Linked DNA regions of Notamacropus eugenii. The main gene of each other region encodes a partner of the protein of the gene in region 2 in a complex. Links are inferred from orthologs where the notes say so. Each region holds a gene or a part of one and is shown on either strand. Other genes may lie near its edges.

Region 1 (6,955 bases), on a different chromosome or scaffold from region 2:
TTAAATTACTTTTAAATGATTAAAGAACCCCAAAACACAAATTTCACCTTTTACCCAAAGTAAAAGTATTCCAACAGTATGCACTTCTGCAATCAGCGAAAGCCAGTTTCCAGCTGACCTCTGAACCATATGCTTGACTTTTCTTTCTTGGACTTACTGGTTTCTGGAGCCCCAGAATATTTTATCAGCCAATTATTGTATTTCTTTTCCTTCTCACCTTCCTCCAACAGCTCCACAATCTTATTGTTTCCCCTTGATAATCTTATAAAAATAACCCCAAACCCACTTTTTTCTACCTACTCTGAAACAGACTATGCTGTTTATAGACCCTCGAGTTCTCACAGCTTTGCCTCTGGTGTCTTATCTGAATCTCCTCGGCCAGTCCAGAGGCAAGTGAGTTGTTAATGTCTGTCCTCTTTGTGGGAGTTCTATGGAGACAGACACAGTTATGAGCATGACAGTATCTGAAAGAGGAGGTGACTGGCCTCCTAGCTAAAAGATGAATGAACTTCCTCCTGGCTTCTCCTTCCCCAACATTCTCTTGTCCTTGAGTGGGTGCCAGTCTGACTAACTATTCTTAATCTCACTGTGTCCTGAGAAATCCATTAAAATTAAAAGATAAATAATGATGATAATATTTGACACTTATATTCTGCTTTATAGTCTGGAAAAGTACTTACTGTCCATTCTCTCATGTGATAAAGTTTAAATGCCTTAACTTAAGGGGACATTCACAGATCTCTACGACTTAGGAACAAGCTATATTCAATTCAATCCATAAGATTGTAGACATTAGGGCTGGGAAAGAGCTGAAACCATCTTGATCAATTCTCTCATTTTACAGATGAGGAAACTAAAGCCCAGAAAAGTTAAGTTACCCAAGACCAAAGAGGTAATAAGTAGCCAGGTCTTGACTCCAGATCAAATGGTCTTTCCAGAGTATAACAGTGCTTTAGCAATTCAATTCAATAATTTAATTCAATGTAATAGGTTAAGAAAGCCAGGGATCACATCAGTGAGTTGTTCCCAGGCAACTTAATGAAATTATGTGTGTGTTCATCCTTCATTGCCGAAGAAGACCATGCCATCAGAGATATGATGACATGATTTGCACTTGACTTTGTTTTTTGAGTGAGGGAGGGCTGTGCAGGTCACCAGCCTCACTTCTCCTCCAGAGTCATCTGGATCCAGTGATCAGATATTCATTAGAATGACTGGAGATGACCCAAGATGAGGCAATTGGGGTTAAGTGACTTGCCCAAGGTCATACAGCTAGTGAGTGTCAAGTGTCTGAGGTGAGATTTGAACTCAGGTCCTCCTGACTCCTGCACTGGGGCTCTATCCACTGCACCACCTAGCTGCCCCTAATGAAATTATAGGCCTTTGATGGAAGAGTTCACCTCTCATGGAGGTAGACAAACATCCTAGTCCTTTGCTGGGGTGGGGAAAAAAGTGCAGATGAGTCCTCTTGTTGTTCCCAAGTGACTGAGGCAGCTTCCAAGATGATGGGCTGATTGAGGTCCTGGATGTGGTTGAAGGGCATGCCTGTCTCTGGTCTATAAGAGGGAAATGGTCCATCCCTTTATATCCTTTTCCTTTAATGGAGTGGATTTTCTCTCTCTTGGACTTCCAGATCAGATGCAGCAAGGGAGAGCAAGGCAGGTGAGGGAAGGTAGATGGAGAAGACAATGACTTGCAGGAAAAGCTCAGTTGGTCAGTGGTCCCCGTAGGTCTGACAGGGCAACTCTTTCCTGACTGCCTTCTTTAGTTTGGTTTTCCTTTTCTGACTATAGGTCAGAGGCTTGTGATTCTGAAAATAAGTGTATCCAGCCCGGGAGGTTACCCAGTATGTTGTACTGAGTTTGAGAGTTCTTAAGTTCTAGAGTCAGGCCCTTGGTAGTGCACAGTTTGAAGAAGGAAGAAGACAGTCCTGAAACTATCCTAAAGCCATATCATGACAGGACAAGAGATCTGGATTTAGCTAACCCTCCATGATATTGGCCTTAGTTACACAGTGCAGGTCCAAAGTGAACCTGCTTGTTCAGTAGTCATACAAAGAGCTTTTACCTTCCTGGGAAGTTTAATGAGTATAATGGGTTATTTGAGTGTTGTATGTTTCTTATTTATGGTAATAAACACCCAAATCCTTTGTATCTTATATATTTCCTATGGTAGGTAAAATAAAAACTATCTCATACTTGATATCAATATTGTATACTGAGTACTTGTTTTGGAGCTGGGGACCCTGTTGCACACATTTGGGGACACCTAAACACTCACCATACCACAAGCCAGGGAGAAATAACTCTTGGTTGAGCCCCAAGGGTAAAAGTTGGTTTATGTGAGCTGAGTTCCCTAAAGACTTGTGAGGCCTAGAGTCCCATGGATGACATCCACAATTATTAAGTGCCTACTATTGGATTGACTGTTAAGAGAAAGGAGACTTCTGCATGTTTCTAATGACTACCTACATATGTACAAGAAGAGGCATGAGGGTTATCAGGATAGGAAAAGGAAGTGGGTTGGTGATATATTGGGATTGAAGGAAGATAGGTGGACAGTCTGTGTGTTGCACTGGTACCCACACAATATTTTAAAACACCAACAAGAGATCTCTAGTACATTGGGTAGATCCTTAGGTCTGTAGGAAAACATGGATTTGAACTACACTGTTTAATCTGTAAGGGTTTACAGATTATTTTTTCCCTCAACATCCTTGTGAGGTACACAGTATAAGTATTTTAACCCCCATTATATAGATAAGGAAGCTGAAACTCAAAAGTAATTAGTTCAGGGTCCCCCAGCAAAGACTGGGTTAGAGATGAGATTCAAACCCAGGTTTCTCTAGACTCCAAATCCAGTATTCTTTCAACTACCTCACACTATTTTGGCACTGTCCTTCTGGTGCAAGAAGAGCAAATACCAAGAGTTCATAGGATTATAGACTAATAGCTGAAAGGAACTTTAGCTACCTGTTCCTCTCTGTTCCTCAGTTCCCTTATATGTAAAATGAGGGGCTTGGAACAGAGAGGAACAGGTAGGGGCAGTAAATTATAAAAAGATCATTGGGCTTTGGAGTGAGAGGCTTCAGGTGTACATTATGCCTTTGACACTAACTCCTGTATGACTTCCAAGCAAATAATTTTAACCTCTGTGTCTCTTTTTCCTCCTCTTTAAAATAGATGATTTCACTAGATGGTCTCCAAGGTAGTCTTCTTTGTCTGAGCAAAGTGAGTTCTTCCTGGAACATCCATTTTGGAGAACGTCCCAGACCAGCCATCCTTTATTCTTTAGATGACACCATGTTTCATCTTCCTTCCCCCTCCATCCAGGCTGCTGTTTTCCCACCGTTGAGTTCTTTCCAGAATCTCTGTTTTGGGGGAAGGACCCAGATTTGCCTTAATGCTTAGCACAGTTTGTTGCATATACCAAGGGCTAAATAAATGCTCATTGGCGTAAAGATCTTTCTTGCTGTTCTCACGTGTACAGGCATGTGTACCTACACCTGCTGGTACACGCTACTATCATATCCAGCGTCTTCCTGGTAGTTTTCAGCACATTGCTATCTTTTGAATTTCCTAAGGCCTATCGACCCTCAGGTCGGTCCATTTTTCTCAAGTTAGCAGCTGAGGATGGGGAGAAAAGGGAGGTCTTAACTGGAGGGGCAGCATACATTCATGGAGAAGCCGACTGGTGTGAAAGAACATCTGGATTTGGATCTGGGAGCTGAGAAGCTCCGCAATTGTGGTCACACCTCAGGCTCCTCATCTGTAAAATGGGGACAGTAAGGGCTGTACCCCATACCTCCCGATGCTCTGGGGGTGAAACGCCAGGGACACGTGACGAGCCCTGTTCTTTCTGGCCTCTCCCACGCTTCGCTCTCCTCTCCGCCCGCCCCCCCGCCCCCTGGCCTGTCAAACAGTTCCCTCTCCTGTCAGCTCCTTCCCTCCTCCCTGTCCCTGCCCAGGGCCCTAATAAAGCTATTTTGAAAGTGACCCAGTCGGTCTGGCTGCCCGGGCGCCCGGAGGGGCAGAGCTCGGGAAGGGAGAGGCCGGAGCTGAGGGCGCAGCTGTTCGGAACCATGACTGAAGATGACGGATTCGGTGGTGGTGGAGGGTCAGGTCAAATTGAGAGATGGAAAAAAGGTGAGGGGCGCCTCAGACCTCCCCCTGCCATCAGGAGACCCCGCTCCCCTCCACTGGGGCCGCGGGGGCGGGGGCGGGACGGGGACGGGAGCCCCCCGCGCCCAGCCCAGCCCGTAACCCTGTGCTTTTCTGTCTCCCCCGCAGTGGAAAACTAGGTGGCTGGTGCTGCGCAAGCCGTCCCCGGTAGCAGGTAAGGCGGCGGGGCGCGGGGAGGGGGCGCGCGGCCTGCGGACTTCTGGGAAGGGGAGCGTAGCGGTGGGGGGGCGGTTCTGGAGAGGGGCGCGTGCGAGCGGGCACGTGACCAAGGGAAGGTGGGGAGGGGAGCCTCAGGTGAGGGGCGCAAGGCCACGTCCAGGTGACTAGGTGGGGTGAGGGGAGGGCTTCTGGGGAGGAGCTCGTGGCGAAGGGCGCGGTGTGGGGGGTGCTCCTGGGGAGGGGGCGCTTCTAGGGGAGGGGACGCTCCTGGGGAGGGGGCGCTTCTAGTGAAGGGGGCTTGACTTGGGAACCTGCGGCAGCGAGGGTGCACGTGGTGCTCTGTGGGGGACGGCTGGAGGCTCGAGATTTGGGGTCTGGGCTTGTTGGGAAGGGGTACGCGGTCTGACGGAAGAGGGGGCGCTCACTGTTCAGGACGAACTAGCCTGCCACGAGGGGTCTCCCAGGAGCCCCATTGCTGGGTTCCGACCGGGCAGGGCTCCCAAGAGGCTGTCCCGAGCTGCAGGGAACGATTGCTTCACCTGACCTTCTCTCTCTGGCGGCGGGGCGGGGCGGCACAAACCGACACTTTGATGGGGGTCGGAGGGGGTCCTGCAGCGGAGCAGTCGACCCAGACTCCCCCTTCTCCCAGCCCAACCTTAGCGAGAAGCGCCTTACCTATAGTGGCCCCCTTGGAATTGAATTCTGTGCCCTCCCCAGGCCCTGGTTTCTTTGCCCCGCATTATCTGCGAGCCTCTTAGTGCGAGCCCTGGGCCGCCCGAAATAGAAAGAGGATATTGAAGCGCACCCAAAGTGTAACAGAGAGGAGGGGAAGGTAACAGGATACGGGGGAGGAGGGCGCTTCAGGCCGCACCCCCACAGAAAGGCTAGGAGCCGCCTTTCCAGCCTCTGGACTCTCTGCTTCTCTCCCAATTGCTTGGCGGGGGTGGGGCGGGACACCTTGGCTCCTACCGGGGTCTTTTTAGGGAATGAGTCATAAATGAAGTGGGACACCGGGATCTTGAGTTATATCGATTTGTCCCCCACCCTTAGCCCATCACAGAATACCAGAACTGGAAGAGAACTTGACAACATCATAGTTCAGGTATATAAAGAGCATTATGGCTTAAAAACCGCTTACACGAATATATGTTAATATACGTCATCTCCTTTAATGTAGTGTCAGAAATGGAAGGCATTTTGAAGACCATGTAGCCCAATCGTCTCATTTTACAGATGGGGAAGCAGATCTGGAGTGGAAGTCTTTTGTGTAGCCTTAGATAGGAAGGAAACTCAGAAAGAACAGGTGCTGGGCCTCAGAAGTAGCTGCATTTCTGAACTGAATTGTGCAGCTGTAGGATGCATTCTTGTGAAGTTTTTCGTTCCTGTCATCTTGCCAGTTTGAATTGTCGAGCTGAATTATTGCCAAGCAATTAAAAGGAAAAAAAAAAAGATTTAGAAATGGGCACATCATAAGATCTAGGCATCCCTGTATCTCTAGTCTGGTTTATTAGTTTGATGAACTCCTTAAAAAAACCTTTATACCGTCCAGCCTTTTCCCTCCTGAGTCTCTATTTTCATAGCACTTAAGGCAGTTTCATAGAGTGACTAACCTTCTGATTCTTCCCCTTTCCTTACTTGAAGTGAGTTGAATATTTTCTGCAAAGGTGGGTTATTTTTGTTTTTTTTCCCCCTATTCTCTGTGCTTGGTTGGGGAAGAGGAGAAGTGAAATTCTATTTTCTTTAGAAAATTGTTAGTCAACATGCATTAGCTTTATCCATTTCAAGACCTCATTGAGCTGGTTTCCTGGATGAATTTGGTCTTTCAGTTCTTTGGTTTCAATACTGTGGGCACACTTGTGCGGTCTTTAAGCATTGTTAGATTTGCAGCTGTTTGAGGAAACAGGTGCCTCCGTACCATCATGCATGCCGGAGTTGTGTGAGTGTGTGTGTGTGTGTGTGTGTGTGTGTGTTGCCAGTGAATGAGCATGATAGGATGTTCTCTTTTTGGTCTAGGAAGTGATAGAAGTGCAGCTTCTTTTTATCCGTATTTGTAGGTGTTTTTGATATCAGTGAACAGAAGTTAGCAGCGCAGTTCTGGTTTTTTTACGCCCTAAGACCTAAAATAGGAGATATTAAGGACTCAGTGTCAGGACCCGTGGGTTTGAATGCTGGCGTTTATATTTGAAGTGGGTGATGCTGGGGTTGGGGGAGATCACTTCCTGTATCTGAGCCCTTAGAATGGGGGCTCCTTGAAGGTAGAGACAATAGCTTTGCCTTTCTTTGTACCTCCAAAGTTTAGCACAGTGACTAGCACCTGGTAAGCATTTAATAATCAACCAATAAATATGTATTAAGTGCCTACTATGTGCCCAGTTTTATGGGCTGTCTAGTCTGCTGGATACTGAAGTTTTCCTATATAGATAAGGCTTATTTGAGGAAAGCTTTTAGTTTGGAATATTCTACCAAATCAACCGGGCAGAAATTAAAAACAGGTGGGAGATGGAATGAGGCAAATTTACTTTTCACAAAAGGAAAAAAACCTGTTACAATGGGAGCTATCCAAAAAGTCAAACAGGGTGCCATAGCCCTCAATTCCCGCTCCCTGGAGATCTTCA
Region 2 (7,301 bases):
TTGTCAAGAAAACCCCAAATGGGGTCATGAAGAATTGGAACAGGACCAAAGTGACTAAACAATGACAAGCCAACACTGTGGTGGTGAGCAACCATTATCAACATTAGTATTAATGCAAGTTGGCTTTCTTGCAAAATTCCTTTTATTGAGAAAAGTCTCATTTGAGTTTCAAGGAAAAATGAAACAATATTTTGTAAGAGAAATATAGATGTGAAACACTACAGAGATAGTGTATTGTGTATAATTATATATAATATATTATATATAATAGTATAATTATAATTTCATCCACAGAGTGTGTCTCAGGGTAATACATCATCATTCGCAAGCTTCTGGATAATGCTTACAGAGGTGGCCCAAAAGTTGCAAATGGACCCAGATGTTCATCACAACTCATACACTCTGCCAGAGAGAATCTCATCCTGCAGTCATCAGAAATGTACCTGCATACCTGATGATTTTTTTAAGCAAGAAGTTTACATAAACAACAAGATGTTTCCCTTGAAAGGAAAAATATGGTGATTTATTCCTACTAAAAGACAGAGATTTCCCTGGGTATGGGTAACAGCTACCCATAAAAATGTTATAAAATCATCCTTGGCTTTACAATGATACATTAAGATTATTCAAACAAGATATGCAATGATTTGTGTGTGTGTGTGTGTGTGTGTGTGTTGTTGTTGTTGTAAAAGAGTGACAGCAAAACAACTTACTGGAATATAAAGATAAAAGTTGAATAAGCATGCCGCTAATAAAAAAAAAAAAAGATTTCCACAGAACATTTGTTTTCTCCCATTTCATGTTGATCAAAATATTGACCATTTGATTAAAAAAAAACATATTCTGCCTGTGTACATCCACAAGTTATTTTATATACAATAAAGGAATGGGGGAAAGGAATTAAAAAAAGAGAGAAAAACATAGTGCAATGTCAGTCAGACTGTGGATGAACCAAATCTTGGTTTTCCAATTGTTAATGTGTTGTTTTCCTCGCTGGCATTGTGCAGTAGAGGTCCAGGTCTTCTTTTTAGGAAATGCCTCCTGTCTGTTGTTGAAATACATGAATTGCATCTTCAGCCTCCAATTCCAACTTTGCTTGGCTGCCAGTCTGCCCGAGGGACAAACCTTGTTGTTCGCAATAGGCTTTCATTAGTTTTACTAAGTGGCTGTGCCTCTTAACCTTAAATTGAACTGCCACCTTCAAATGAATGTGGCTCTTGACTCCTTCCTGAGGCTTTTTGTAAGTCAGAGCAAGTTGGGGGGGGGGGGTTCTCTTCAGCTGCACCAGGATGGTCTTCACCAAGGAAATTGGGGGGAAAGTAGCAGTGTCAGGAGCAGGAGCAGAAATGTACCTGTATACATTATTACAGACCCTTGTTTCTTTTTCTTGTTGTTATTCTTGAAGAACACTGAATTTAGGTGTCTGATGATGGAAGCTTGAACCTTAACTTTGTTGTGTAATAATTTTGTGACCCTGGGAGAGTCACTTCATTTCTCTGGGCCTCAGTTTCCATCATTTATAACTTGAGGGAATTGGATTGCATCATCTACAAGGTCCTTTCTAGGTCTAAGCTCCATGAGGTCTATAACTGGTATAGTAATTCTGAGATTTAATAGACACAAAACAAACCAAAAAACAGGCTAGTCCTTTGAATATAGTCAGTCAACTGTCAGATTGTGTCATCACTAAAGCCTGTCTAACTTGCTGCTCTCCAGGGGACTTGCCTTTGAGATGACTGAGTCACCTTAACACAATGATAAAAGCCTACAGAGTAAGACCTTAATGGATGAAACAGAGAAAACAAAGTGTTAAATTGCATATACAGAGAATATTTTATAATTTGATGATATATCATTACATTAAGATGTCATGTAATTATGTCATTATATAATATCATGACATTATATCAGGATATAATCATGTCAGATTATGAGGAATAATACCATTATCTCTGTCCTAAAATAAAGCATTAATTGTGTTGTACAGAAAAAAAGTACAAAAGGAAGACTCCAAGGTCTAAAGGGGCCTTAAAGAGGTATTGACAAGCTTCTTGAGGTCAGGGGCTAGTTCTGTATATATTTGTTTCATGGTCCCCAGCACAGTGGGAATATAATAAACACTTTGCATTATGTATTAACACATAATTTGTTTTCAATAAACATTTGTTGAATGAATGAGTTGGAACTGTAGCTGTCCCTTGAGGGATGAGTAGAGTATAGATTGGTGAAGAGGAAAATAAAACTACGCATGATGGGGTTGGGGGAGGGGGGAGGGAGGAAATAATGACACTGTCCTGGCTAGAACAAGTAGTATGAGGAAGTAATGGGAAATAAAACAGATAGTAAATTCAGGTCCACAATTCCTTTATCAGTCAATTAATCAGTCAATTAGCAAATAAGTGCTTACTATTGTAGTGCCAATGCAATATTCACAGTGCCTCTGTTGTCTGTAAATATCTCTGCATGGTTCTGAATTGCAAAATACCAGACTCTCCACATGGAAGACAGAACCAAAACATTTATTCAGACACCAGAAAGCCAAATCCATCACAGTAACAAAAATCCATACACAATAACAATGCAGAAGACAATACCATCCCCAAGCCCTCCCTCTGTTAGGCTTCCCATAAACCAGCTCCATTAGACAAATCACAAACAAGCTCTCTCGTTCACACTAGCCAGCTGCCTACTCGCCTGCATCTTTCCTAGCTCTGACTAGACTGACCAACTTCCTCTCAGCTCTGTTCTAGCTCTGCCTCTCCCTATTCTACCCCTTCAGCAAACTTCTCCCACCCCAAGCTCCCTATGACTCAGACTTCCACATGACTCAGGCAGATCACATGGATCTATTGATGAATGGGAAAGATCTCCCCATTTAAATTGTGATTTATAACTATGTGTTAGGCACTGTGATAAGGGCTGGGGCTTGGTGGAGCTCACTTTCTAATGTGGGATACAAGATGCAAACAATTATACAAAGATACACATCGTGTAAAAGGGACATCATCTAGAAGGAAGGCATGAGCAGAATGTGTGTGGTATAGGTAGGGGGGAGTAAACCAGGAAAAATCCCTTGCAGAAGGTGAGAATTGAGTTGAATCTTAAAGGAAGCCAGGAGGCAGAGGTTCTCAATGTCCTCAGATCTAAAATGATGGGACCTGAGGTCCCTCAGAGTTCTAAAGCTAAGATCCTATGAAATGATCTAGGAAGTTGCACCTCTTGACCAACAAATGGAACTTTATTCTTTGCCTTTGTCTCCAAAGGCATACATAGCTTAAGAGAAGCAAAAATAAAGATCTGACAGGGGTACCCTCCTAGCCAGCTACATTAACTCTGTTGACTAATTTATTGAAAAATGTCACAGCCAGATGACTCTCAAATTCTTATCTAAAGAAGGTAGAAATCAGTGAAGTTAGGAAAAGGCAAATATACAACAAAGGTGAGAAAGATGGCATAATTTCAAAAGATAGATAAAAAGATGATGGGAATGAATCTGGGAATTCAGGGGAAAGCCAAACTCAGACTGGGAGATAGAAAGATAAATTGAGAAATAGTAGCCTCATTCATGAATTTTCAATTAAGGAAAGGTTAAGCTGATAATAGCAAACTGATAAAGGGAGGGGATTAAAATCAAAATTGGAGGACATTCAAAGGATAGACATGAAGTGGCAAAGTAGGACAAGTAAAAAGTTGGGAAAAGTAGAGGGGAAGAAAAAGAGGAAATAGAGAGGTGAAGCAAAATGAAAGGAGAAGAAGAAGTATTGAGAAAGAAAAAAAGGAAGAGAAAGGTGTAGGGAAATTATTTGAGACAATAAAGAAGGAGCTAGGAGGGCTGGCTTGGCTGTGTGCTTGTGTGGTTTGTCCTTCATTTTGAAAGAGGACTATGACATCAGGAAGATGGTGCCATGACTTGCAAATAAATTGGATTTAAGTGAGGAGGACTATTGGGTTGGTGAGGGGGCTGAGAGGAGCCTTGAGTAAGAGCTGGGAAGAGAGAAATCAAAAGGAAAATATGTAGTGAGAATAAGATAGAAGGTGAGGATAATTGCAGGAAGAGATGGGAGAGACTGCAAACTCCTCAGATGAAGAGTCATGCAGTCTTGATACATTTGTATAAGCTGATTTGAAAGATCAGTAAAAAAAAAAAAATGTACCATTCAGGTTAAGTTATTGTTTGGGAAAGGCATCTGGCATCGTATCCCTGACATTTCTTAAAAAGGATTCTAAAGGGATTTGCATTCTCTTGTTTCTGCAGACCCACGTTTGCATACTGCCCTAAGTGGATGCCCACCAGCTGGCCGTGTCCATCACACAGCCAAGTCTGAGAATTCCTGATTATACTTAGCCCCTGCGGAGCTTGGAGCACAGACAGTCCGTAGGAGGAGACCCTTGGTAACAAACCAAGCTTTAAAATGTAACCTGGGGGGGAGGCATTTTCCTATTTTTGCTGGGACACAGATTTCTTCTCCTTCTCCCCCCCTCCATCTTGGATTATAACCATGAGAGAGCCAGTCAACATTCCACTTGTACACATCCTTGCCCTGGCTGCCTTCAGCCTGGCCGAGAAGCTTCCAAAAGGTTGGTTTGAACGAACTCATGTTCTTGCATAGTCACTGTCTGTGGGGGTGTATGGTGTGTGTGTGTGTGTGTGTGTGTGTGTCTGTGTGTGTGTGTCTGTGTCTGTGTGGGTCTGTGTGTGTGTGTCTGTGTCTGTGTGTGTGTATCACAGCTGCAGCTCATTAACACTCTTTGTGGGTGTTCAGTCATTCTTGGGGACTGAGTAGGCAGGAGGGCAGGGGTAAAGGGAAGGGAGGGAAATTGTATAAATAAGCATACCTGGTCCCTTTGCATTTGGCTGGCATGGTGTCTTTTTTCCCCAACAAAAAGTCTGCTCACAGAAACCTACCTCTCTTCGATTGCCAGGGAAAGTTGAAGCAGGTAGACCCCTAACTGCTGGAACATTTTCCTGATTGTATGAGCCAAACTTCAGTGTGGTTGAAAGTGGCAAGAGAGGAGTTTTGGGTTATTTTTATATATGGTTAACCACAGTATATGGATAGAGTGCTGGCTGGACTCAAAAGCCAGGAAGACCCTGGTTTGAATCCTGCCTCAAGTACTTACCAGTTTTGGGACGCTAGAAAAATCACCTAACACCTCTAAACCTCAGTTTGTCATCTGTAAAAAGAGGTGGTTGAATTCTTTTACTTCTAAGGCCTCTTTCTGAGAAGGGAAGAAGCATATATTATGTGCCTATTATGTGCCAGGTGTCGTAAGACTTTACAAATACCATTGCTCTCTAAACGAATCCTAAGAGTCTGAGGAGCCCTTTCCTTAAGCACTCATCTCCTTTTTTTCTAATTCAAAAATTAATTTTCCCCCCAATTTAATTGTATTTTCAAATAGGGCTGCAGCTTGTGAAACAGAAGTAAACCGTAATTAATATAAAACATTAAGAGCTAAAAAAAATAAAAACTCAGTTAAGAATACCTTTTGAGACAGGATTTGGCTGAGAAGGAGATGGCCCAAGTTTTTTTCTGGGCCATTCAAATGCACCGGAAATAACACCACCTCAGAGGGGAGAGGAAGGCAACTTAAGAAACTGATGAGCACCTGTTACCCTAGGAGGAATGTCCGAGGCCTGATCATTCTTGGCTAGTGATTTGTTAGGCTGGGGAAAGGGCTGGTTAGTATGCTGTGAAGTGCCAGCGAACCCTATTATAGCTTCTGATTTACAAAGAAAAAAAGACAGGGCATTCTAAAACCATTTAATTTAGTGGTAGAAACAGGTATTCTGAGATGGAGAGAGCTTTCACAAAGATTGGGCAAGAGTGAATGAATACTATAAGCCAGATAAAAGAGAAAAGGACGTAATTATGAAGTTTGTTAGAAACACAAAGTGAAAGGAATCTATTTTTTAAAAGATTGGCTTTCTCTATTTTTTTCTTTCTTAAAACCAAAAAAAAAAAAATCATATTTCTGATTTGAAAAAGCCTATTTTATAGCACCCAAGTAACATGGAAGGTAAATTAGAAGTTGAAGGACCTCAGCTCAGATCCTGACTGCCACTTACTACTTTGTGACCTTTGGGTAAGTCACTCTAGGACTCAGTTTCCTAATCTGAAAAAATGATGTGATTGATTTGGATGACCATTAATGCAGGAGTTCTTAGCCTTTTTGTGTGTCATTGACCTCTCTAGTAGTCTGATGAAACCTAGGTGCCCCTTCTCAGAATAGTTTTTAATTTATAAAATGAATAAGATTGCAAAAGAAGCTAATTATGTTGAAATGCGGATGTAATATTCCCCCCATTCAAGTTCAGAAACTGTTTCAAATCTGTCTATACACTTATGGACCCCAAGTTAAGAACCCCTTCTCTGAGGTCTTTAAACTATTGTTCTCTTGATTCTGATATCTCTAGAGAAAGGGCAGAGGAGCCTGAGAAAGTGCCTGTACTTTAATAGTGTTGCAGAAATGTGGGAGCTGCAAGATTAGGGATGTAAACTAGACATAATAGAGAGGCAACCTCTAGAATTTGGTCCATCTTCTCAGCATAAGTCATATGTTCATCATACTATTTTTAGGAAATCCTAGATTTTAAAATGTAAACTCCTCAGGTAGACACAAATTAAAAAACGCTTCTGCTGTGGCTAATAATAAGTAGAAAAAATTTGTATTGACCTTGGTTCATTTTAATACTTCCTGAATACACCATGGATGTCCAATGCCATGTGTATAGTGTTGAAGATAGGCCTATGTCTTATTTGTGCTATTTTAAATCGTGGAGTTATCTAAAAAACTTCCTGATTATATCTTAGTTTACATGTCACACACAGGATATCCAGTTATAACACAGGTCAGGAGAGGCCATGTTTATTTCTTTTGACTTTATAGACCAGTATTTAGTTAAAGCTTTCTGTGTGGACAATCACTAATTTTAAATTCCAGAAAGTTTTGATGTATAGTTTATAAATTTCAAAGATTGGTATCTTCCTATAAAAACAAATTACATTCCTTTCAGAATTTTCCCAAAGGATGGGAAGAAAATGGCGGCACAGTTGAATTGCTGATTGGACTGCCATTGTACAGCATTCTAATTGCATCAAAATATCTAAAGGATATCCTGGTTTTTTTTTTAACTGAAATGACTTTTTGGGATGAATTTTGGAAGATTTCTAAAATATAATTATAAAAGTATTTGCAAACCATGAAGTACTATATAAATGTGAGTATGTATTTTAAATCTAAATTTATCTGGATTTTTCATACTTTTCACATCAAGTTGCTCCTCTGTCCAAAGCACA

The links.
Region 1: the proteins of MUSK (region 2) and DOK7 are in contact, whole or in part, in a crystal structure (PDB 3ML4), measured with the Mus musculus proteins. The link is inferred for Notamacropus eugenii from reciprocal best matches to the Homo sapiens genes MUSK and DOK7. Residues at the interface, in NP_035074.2 of Mus musculus: Leu547, His548, Pro549, Asn550, Pro551, Met552, Tyr553, Gln554, Arg555; in NP_001335203.1 of Mus musculus: Leu154, Ser155, Asp156, Leu157, Arg158, Arg159, Tyr160, Gly161, Gly172, Thr173, Arg174, Ser193, Asp197, Val200, Arg201.

The regions. Positions count from the first base shown.
Region 1 is NC_092877.1:53,964,974-53,971,928, forward strand, and holds the start of DOK7 (protein Dok-7), read left to right. Parts: upstream 1-3,934; 5' UTR 3,935-4,091; coding exon 4,092-4,145; intron 4,146-4,289; coding exon 4,290-4,335; intron 4,336-5,015; exon of another isoform or gene 5,016-5,163; intron 5,164-6,955. UniProt on the Homo sapiens protein: Probable muscle-intrinsic activator of MUSK that plays an essential role in neuromuscular synaptogenesis. Acts in aneural activation of MUSK and subsequent acetylcholine receptor (AchR) clustering in myotubes. Induces autophosphorylation of MUSK.
Region 2 is NC_092872.1:97,448,612-97,455,912, reverse strand, and holds the start of MUSK (muscle, skeletal receptor tyrosine-protein kinase), read left to right. Parts: upstream 1-4,279; 5' UTR 4,280-4,499; coding exon 4,500-4,578; intron 4,579-7,301.